Mus musculus: one gene and its partner. The protein of the gene in region 1 interacts with the protein of each later gene in a pairwise test. Links are inferred from orthologs where the notes say so. Each region holds a gene or a part of one and is shown on either strand. Other genes may lie near its edges.

Region 1 (4,158 bases):
TCTGTTTTTGTTTTTTATTCCCGAGACAGGGTTTCTCTGTGCAGCCCTCGTTGTCCTGGAACTCACTTTGTAGACCAGGCTGGCCTCGAACTCAGAAATCCGCCTGCTGGGATTAAAGGCGTGTGCCACCACACCCAGCTCTGAAGATCTGTTTTCACTCTTCTAGTAACTTACTTACACCCCTAATAGAGCAAGATGGACTTTTTAAAGGACTATGAAATCACTCCAACAAAACCACTCTCACACATGTACAGACCATGGTCTACTTGATACATGCAAATTCTCACCAATTCCATTTAAAACTGACTCAAAGGAGTCTTGAAAACATTCTAGCTGGACCTCATTACCTTATCTTTGCTAACAGTAAACTCTCAAAACCCGGTCCTTAAGAAAACCAACACACTCAAAGGCAAGGCCTAGCCAGAAAGGAACTACTTACAAAAACATGAAATTTGTTTCCCAAATATGCATAATCTGCATGGTAAAGAACCTGAAGTAACCTGGAAATTCTGATTTTAACTGACAGCACATGGAGAATAACAGAAAAAAAAATAGTTGTAGTCTAACTAGATGTATGACCTTCAAACATTTTAAGTCTCAGCAGGAATGGTGGCACACACCCAGTGATCCCAGCACTGTTCCGGAGGCAGCACTAGGAGCATGTGGAAATTAGAGACCAGCTTTATCTACAAATTAAGTTCCAGGTCTCAGGTCAGACCCAGTGTCTTTTTTTTTTTTTTTAAATTAAGTCTTAGGTCAGTGGTTCTTCTGGTATTATCACACCCACTGTTCTCTCTGCGGAGTAATAAGCCTTTCTCAAGAAAGAGAGAGAGAGACAGACAGACAGACACACACACACACACACACACACACACAGAAGGAAAGAGAAAAAAATTCCCTAAGCTCAGTTCCCACACCTACAAACGGAATTGGTTTGTAAATCCTAAAGTTTTTTTTTTCCTCCCCAGTCTAAAATACTACATCTATTGGGGGTACAATCAGTAGAGTGGATGTTCCTATTCTCCTGTTCAGTAGATTTTTGAGTAGAAGCTATGTAAGTTGAGCACTAGAGTTTGATCCCAAGTTGTAAGGCTGAAATGCAGCTCAGAGATACAGCACCTGTTCACTGTGTCCCAAGCCAACACCAAAGAGGAAAATAAAATAGGAAAAAAACAAGCTCCATATATTTTATGTCCCTAAGAAACGTCACTGCTCCGGAGAAATACTCCAAACAACATCTCAGAGTCTTCAATATTAAGACCTGATCTTGTTTTCTTAGTTTAATAATACGTGAGTCAAATGCTCAAACTAGCCAATGAAAGGTGAAAAAAACATTCCACATGGTACATACACATTTGGGCACGTGACACTAAGTGGCTAAAAATTCTCACCACATACCGCATCCTAAAATATAAGTTTTCCCCTTTCAGACTGGCATGGGGGATGTACATTATACGTGTACTACATATTATACATATATAATGTTATATATAACATGCAAAAAGCACTTATTTCAAAATATACCAGAAGACAAAACCAAATAAATAACTAATAGGTCAAAATTTAGTGATGACTATTAGAAAATACAAGTAGAACCAATTCTGGGGCAAAAAAGAAAAAAAATGGTGTCAAATTTTCCACTATCAGCTACTAAACATGAACTTTTTTTTTTTTAAATCAACTTGCCTGCAAAAAATGCAATTTTACGAAACCGACCTGAAAAGGGGAACCCATCAGTGATTCTTAATTGAAGTAATAACTTTAAGCAGAAATGCATCTATTTTGATGCAACCTCGCCAAATTATTATGTGTTTTTTCGACTGGAAAATACCTTCCCCCATAGAGTCATAACCGCTAAGATTTCAAAACAATCTTTTACTTACACAATCTCCAATAATACGGCACTCAAAACAGAAAATCCACCCAAACCCTCACTGTCTTCACCCGGTATAGAACGGGATTAATAATCCACGTTCAATGCAAAAGGCAAAATGGAGTTGTAAAAGAGTTTCTTGCCTAGTCCAACTCCCGACAGCCACACGCGCTTCGCAGTGGCAGGCTACCCCAGCGCGGTCGCGGACCGGCCGGGAGCCCCCGCCCAGCCCGGCGCAACCCTGAGAGGAAGCGACGAGGAGGGCGGGCGGCTAGGGCTCCACCAGGCCCGGCCGGGCGGGGGAAGGGGGACTGGAGGCGGCGGGGCGCGCTTCCGGGGACTGCGCGGGCGGGGCCGCCGCCTCGGGCGCGGGGCCCCAGGTCAGGGGCCGGGGCGAGGGGCTGCGGGCCGAGAGCAGCAGGTGGGGCGCGACCGCGGGCAGGCGACGGGCCGGAGGCCGGAAAAGTGCTTGCCGATCAGCCGACCAGCCGGGCCCGGAGCCGAGGCGGCTGGAGGGAAATGCTCCTGCTCACCTCAAGGCGAGGACTCCGAGTCCGGCCTCTTCGCGCTGAGGACGCTTGTCCGCGAGTCCGCGAGCTCCGAGCCAAGGACGGGCAGCTCCGTGGGAGACGGCGGGCTATGGAGAGAACCGACGGAGGACCGCGGGCGGCGGGCGGGGAGCGCGAGCGAACGAGGGCGGGCGGTGGCGGGAGGGCGGGGAGCGACGTGCGCGGCCCCGAGCGCCCTGCGGGCTCGAGCTGGCGCCAGTCGCGGCCCCGCGCACGCGCGCACACTCTCAGTTCAGCCACGATTGCTCAAGAACGCATCCACGCCCTGAGAGCTAGACGCTTAACCAATCATGGCAGACGCGTGGAGCATGACGGGAACACCGGGGCTATAAAAGAGCGAGTTGCTATTTTATCCTCACCGAATCACTCATCCTTTAAGCAAGCAGGGTGGGGCTGGGTGCGCCTGCGCGGTTTTAAAAACCCCTCCCCAAACTGCCAACACTTCGCGCAAGCGAAGTAGATCTTCCTTGCCTTGTATTACGCGTGCGCACTGACAGGCCTAACCCCGGAAGACCATACGCTTGCGCAGTAAGAACTACGGTGACAGTACTCCCGGTGGGGCGCTGGCCAGTCATGGCGGAGCCTTGGGCCGGGCAGTTTCTGCAAGCTTTGCCCGCCACGGTGCTCGGAGCGCTGGGCACCCTGGGCAGCGACTTTCTGCGGGAGTGGGAGACACAAGACATGCGAGTGACTCTCTTCAAGCTGCTCCTGCTGTGGTTGGTGTTAAGTCTCCTGGGCATCCAGCTGGCCTGGGGGTTCTACGGGAACACAGTGACCGGGTTGTATCACCGTCCAGGTGAGGCTCCCTACGAACCTCCTTGGCCCGGCTGTCCCTACCACCACCATACTGTACCATTGGGTTCTCCTGTGTCCACATAGACTACCACTGGTCCTCCAGGAGCCTCACTGTACCCAGACTTACAACCCCGTACCATTTTACACCACAAGCCCCTCATGCCCATCATCACGTTGTTAACTGTTTCTCAAAACCCTTCCTGGACAATACCACTAGTCCCTAGTATCCCAGCCTCAATCTCTATTAAACTATACCAGTGGCCCCTGACCTGACCTGGGCTATTGCCTGCTCAGATCCCCACCCTCAGCCTCCTGCAGCTATGGGTGTGTTCCTGCCTCCAGGTCTGGGTGGCCAGAATGGATCCACACCTGATGGCTCCACACATTTCTCTTCATGGTGAGTAAATCTCTGTCTATCCCAACCCCATGCTTGACAGGCAGAGAACTCTCAGCATGTGAGTGCACCAGCTTAGTGGCTGTGCAAGAATCCTTCAAGGCTAATGGTAGAGCTCAGGATTCCAGTTGGGGGTTCCCAGTGGCTTTAGAGCCTCTCATCAGCATGTTCAGTGGGGATGGATGGTGGTGTTACCTTAATTTCAGAAAGGTGATGTGCCAGGTCTATTGAAAACAAATCCCTTGGTTGGGAAGTCTTTCTTTAGGAAGGCAAGAACATCTATTCTAGGCAAGTACTGTACCACTGGAGCTATAACCCCCAGCCTAACAGTCTCTATTCTTAGCATACGACCTCATCAAGTCAACCTCCTAATCTCTAAAAACAACAGCTTACTTATCAGGACATTTCATTCAGCTAATCTCTGAGCTTCTACCACACGGCAGAGGTCACAGTACACCAGAAAACAAGGACAACTCAGACTCTGCCAGGCAGTGGTGGCGCACACCTTTAATCTGAGCACTTGGGAG
Region 2 (4,816 bases), on another chromosome or scaffold:
AGCCCAGATGGAAAGCCAAGTCTGCCATTGCCTGGGGATCATCCATTGTGCAGATTAAATGACTTTCACTTCCACTCCTACTTCCTCTCAAGGAAAGCAAGAGGCTGGTTTCAGACTTGTTGCTTCTTTTCAGAATAAAAATAAAACTGCATTTTAATTTTTTTCCAGCCCTTGAATGCACTGATGTTAGAATAGAGCACTTGTTTGTAAACTCTTTAACCCCAAAGGACCATTGTAAGAAAGCTCTGATCATTAACTATGAAATCTGAAGGGTATATTGTCTACTCTCTATAGCTACCCTTCTCTGTTTGGGTCCTCTTAACAGAAGTGGGGTGTAATAAAATGAGCTCAAAATGTAACAAGAGGGACTGGGAAGATGGCTCATTTAGTAAAGTACTTGTCACACAAGCATGGGGACCTCAATTTGATGCCCAGTACCCACGTAAAAAGCTGGACATGGCAGTGCATACCTGCAATCTTAGGGCCAAGAAAGCAGCGAGTGGGAAGTCCCTAGAGCTCTCAGCCACTTAATCTTGCTGAATTGATGAGCTTCAGGTTCAGTGAGACTGTCTTAAATAATAAGGTGAAGACTGACAGAAGAAGACACCTGAACACACACACCCACACACACTCACACTCACACACACATTCACACAGAATGGAGGAGGGGCAGGAAGGGAGGGAGGGACAAAGAATAACAGAAGTGGTTGGGTTCATTTAGAAGGAGGCACATGGTTAATAATGTAGCTGAGTCCTAGGGTCTATCCTGGTGGGGATAGTTTCTTGTTAGTGACAGAAGATTTAGTCAGCACGCCTATCATGACCCCATTCCAAAGCCTGGACACTTATATAGGTGTAGTTCCCCAGATCCAAACAATAGGCATAAAAACCTCCTCCTTGGGGCATTCACTCCTGAAAGCAGACAAGTCCCTTCTCTGCTTCTCTGCTAATCAACAAAAGGAAAGGAGTCAGAGAACCTGTGTTTTGGTAATCAGGCTTCCGGGCAAGGCCTCTGGCCGGGCTAACAGCCTTCCCTCTCTCGGGTTTGGCAGTCTCTATATTTATATTGAGGACAAAATATTCCTAGTGAAAACATCTCACATCAGAGTGTCAGAGGAAGAGAGCAACAACACCCATCAGGGGGCTTTTGGAAAAGCAACACATGTGCTATGTTTTGACTAAACATATTCTCCAATGTTCTTTTTCAGATGGTTGGGTGCAGTCAGCTTTTAGACAGGCAAACGCATTAACTTCTAGGGCAAAGGCCACCTTGTGGCTGGATCTCCACTCTTGGGACGTCAGCAGGAGCTCTGATGTTGTTGGAGGTTGGACTGAGTAGACACCCCCCTCCCTGCCCTAAGATTTATTGCCGCAAAGCGAGGGTGCCTACTTTACAGGTAACTGCTGGAGATTGGATTGAGGGTGCTGGTTCTTTGCAGGAGTTGTGCCCTGACCTCTCTTGCTGTAACAGCAGATAGAAGGCTCTAGTGGAGCTAAACCTTATGAATGGGACTCTCAGAGCCTGCTCTAAGAGAAGTAGGCTAGTAGGAATACTGGGTGAGGGTGGGAAGGAGGAGCGAGGCAAACCTGACCCAGAAAACTCTCCCAAAACAAAACAAAACCATCCAACCAACTAACATCAAAAACAACGAAACAGAAGAAGGAAGAAATGACTGTGTCAGGAAACAATGGGCGGGTGCTCATATTTGCAAGGGGAGCTGAGAGGAAAGGCAGCTTGTGTGTGTGTGTGTGTGTGTGTGTGTGCTTTAAAGACAATCACATTGTTCCCCCAGCTGAAGTGTTGACATTTCTTCACAGTCACTCATGCAACATATAGGTGTCCCCCAGACCAGAGCCTATGGGCTGTGGATCCCACTCTGCCCCACCCCCACTCCCCAAAAAACATTGCTAGCTTCTCTAGGATTTCGTCTTGTTTTCTCACTCAGGAGCTGTGACTGTCCACAGTCCTGTCATTCTCGCACCTGAATGGCTCTGCTTAGCGAATTCCAACGCCCGCCCTCTTCTACAGCGAGGGGTCTGCATCCCTATCCAGGAAACTGTGGGAGGGAGCTATGAGGTAATAAATAGCCTGAGGGAGAACTACAGAACCCCCCCCCCACCCCCCGCGCACGTTCAATATCACAGACACCTGCTAGGGTTAGAGTGTTCCCCAAGTGTGACCCCGTACCCCAGTCTTTCCAAACACAGGTTGGCATCAAAAACAACACATTTCTTTTGGCTTGCCCTCTTCCCCATTCTCACCGGTTTCACGTGGCCAATTTGGAACAGCTGGGTCCCAGCCAAGCTCAATTGCTCAGTCTGGAGGCACATGAAGCCCTTGGAAATTGCGATCCTCCCTCTGAGCTGGATCACCCATCGCTGCTGGGTGCCCGGAAGTCTTTCGGAAGCCAGGGTTCATCCACGATCCCACCCGCGGGATCCCCTGTCCCTGACAAGCCCCTACCTTAGGTAGTGCCACAGGCTTCTCTAGCCTTCTCAATCGGTCCTTCCACAGTGCGGGACATCCTTTGGGTCGGCCTGCGCTAAGTGCACGGCCCCTCTTCCTTAATAACTTCCCTTCTCGTCCCAGCCCACATCAGGCTCCCCGGATTCGCCAGGACCTAGGAAGCCCGGACACCCAAGGGTTCTTCTTAATATGCCAGGCTCATTCAAGCCCAGGACACTCCTCCATACACCCACCTCATGCCGGTGGAAACCAAAATCAGCCGCAGAGAATGTGTTTAAGAGGCGCGTGCACCTACCTGCCGAGAACGCTCCTAGTGCCCGGAGACGCTTAGTACCGGGTGGCATGTACCACCTCGGCACCCACGCACCGCCCCTCGCTGCCGTGCACCTCCGGCTCCGCGGACACCGGTGCTCGTTCCTCCCAGCCAACAGGGAAAGGTCCGAGGGTAACAGTCGTGGCCCCAGCGCTCGGGCGTCGCACCAGCTGCCGCCGCGCCGGGTGAAGTTGCGGGGCCAGAGGACGCGCGGGTGGCAGAGAGCGGAGCGAGCGCGGTAGCGGAGAGGGCGGTGGGGAGGCGCGCACGCGGGGGCTGGCGCGTCACCGGTGGGGGGGGGGCGAGGGAGGAGGGCGGGTGGAGACAGCTGCTTGATGGTCCCTTCAGCCCGACTCCTTCAGGGTGCGCTTGGGTGCTTGCCTCCAGCTGATCGTCTGCCTGCACGTCAGGCTCTGGGACACTAGCTTGTGGCGCAGCTTAGAAGGACTCCGCCGCAGGGGAGTTGAGACCAGCCGGACACGGAGCATTAGAGGAGATCTCAGCTGAGACAAGAGTGCCTGTGCAGCCAGCCTTTGGGGATCTCAAAAAGGGCCGTGCATTGCAAATGATGAGATGGGGGAGGGTTGTGTGCAGTGGTGAAGAGTGAAGTTCAAGGCTCAAGGCAGGAGTTATGTTGAAAAGCCCGGTTGGAGAGGGCCTCTGGGTACAAGTACCCAGGGCTTGTTTCGACAGAGGTTTCACTATGATAGGGAGAAGCAAGACTTTTGTTTGACTTTGAAACCTCTCTTTTGGTGTGAATTTGAATTATACATAAGGCTATAAAATGTAGGTGGGTCTGACAGACAGAAACATTCCATAGAAAAAGGACCTTTAGAAGCTGAGTGTGGTGGCATTCAAGAGGCTAAGGCAGGAAGGCTGCTGTAAGTTCGATGCCAGCCTGGGTTATATATAGTAAATCCCAGGTCAGCATTGGTAACTAGGCTATTATATGTGTGTGAGTGAAGAGTATGAGGTTGGGTATTCTAAGGACCTGGAGCCCAAGAGTGGACTCTGCGTCCATCCTTAGGTTGGCAGTCTTCCAGGCCTCAGTTTCCTCCTCAGGGAAACTGTCTTACTCATACAATTGTGTATTTACAATATGTAAAATCAAAGTGTCCCACAAATTCATCCATCACATTCCAAGCTGAGACCTAGTCACTTTATGAGGACATTAGAATCAAGAAGTATAAACCTTGACCAACAAAGGCTAGGAGAGGAGTCTATGGCAGCATCAGGAAACCTGGACATCCTTAGACCTGGAAAACGCAAGCAGCTGAATCACACCCCACCTAAGGATACAGCCAGACTTCAGGGATCACCCAAGGAGGAGCACTGTACAGGCCTCTCACCTGGACCACGAGGCCATGGCTTGAGAGGAGCTCAGACAGGCTACCCTTGCCAGCTGCATTCTCCAATGCCCTTCTCTCAACTCAACACACTCCCCATCAGGAAGCCACCTTCCCATGTGGACATTCCTTCCTAGGAGGAAAGCGTCGACTACGACTACACATGTGACAGCTTAGCACACAGAGGGCAAGCAAGCTCTCTGTGTGTTTCCTCATGGGTGTTCTGCTCAACAAGCAAGTCCCTAATGCATCAATCCGTACAGAACTAAACGTAAGTTTATGGCGATCTTCTTATCCCCTGACATTAGACTGTTTACACCTGGCTGTAACCTTTCAGTATTTTGATTCCCACTTTATAGGCAGGCAAACTAAGGTTACAGAGAGTTAGCCTAACTTGTCCAAGATGACCCAGCCTCATCGACTTTAGATGCTCATGCAAAAAAGAGACATGGCTTGTGGGGAGACATTCTTCATGGCACACCCATCCTTTGGAGGACACAGCAAAGCCGGGCTTGGATTCCTGACGAGTGGAAATTGTGAGTTAATGCTGTGTGTTCTTTTAAATGACTGTATGTTGATTTCTTAGGCAGTGATAGACAATAGTCTATCTACATTGCAGAAACAGTGGCCTTAAAAAAAAAAAAAACAACCCTGTAAACCACAATGTGACTCTTCTGTGGCTTTAAATCC

Evidence for each region.
Region 2: the proteins of Rhoa (region 1) and Ripor2 interact in binary tests that used the Homo sapiens proteins (3 or more experiments, as listed by UniProt). The link is inferred for Mus musculus from reciprocal best matches to the Homo sapiens genes RHOA and RIPOR2.

The regions. Positions count from the first base shown.
Region 1 is NC_000075.6:108,304,802-108,308,959, reverse strand, and holds the start of Rhoa (transforming protein RhoA precursor), read right to left. Parts: upstream 2,801-4,158; 5' UTR 2,407-2,800; intron 2,164-2,406; exon of another isoform or gene 1,884-2,163; intron 1-1,883. Other genes in the region: Tcta (T-cell leukemia translocation-altered gene protein homolog), read left to right, coding at 3,016-3,238, 3,532-3,634. UniProt on the Homo sapiens protein: Small GTPase which cycles between an active GTP-bound and an inactive GDP-bound state.
Region 2 is NC_000079.6:24,636,883-24,641,698, reverse strand, and holds the start of Ripor2 (rho family-interacting cell polarization regulator 2), read right to left. Parts: upstream 3,052-4,816; 5' UTR 2,812-3,051; coding exon 2,763-2,811; intron 2,622-2,762; exon of another isoform or gene 2,465-2,621; intron 1-2,464. UniProt on the Homo sapiens protein: Acts as an inhibitor of the small GTPase RHOA and plays several roles in the regulation of myoblast and hair cell differentiation, lymphocyte T proliferation and neutrophil polarization.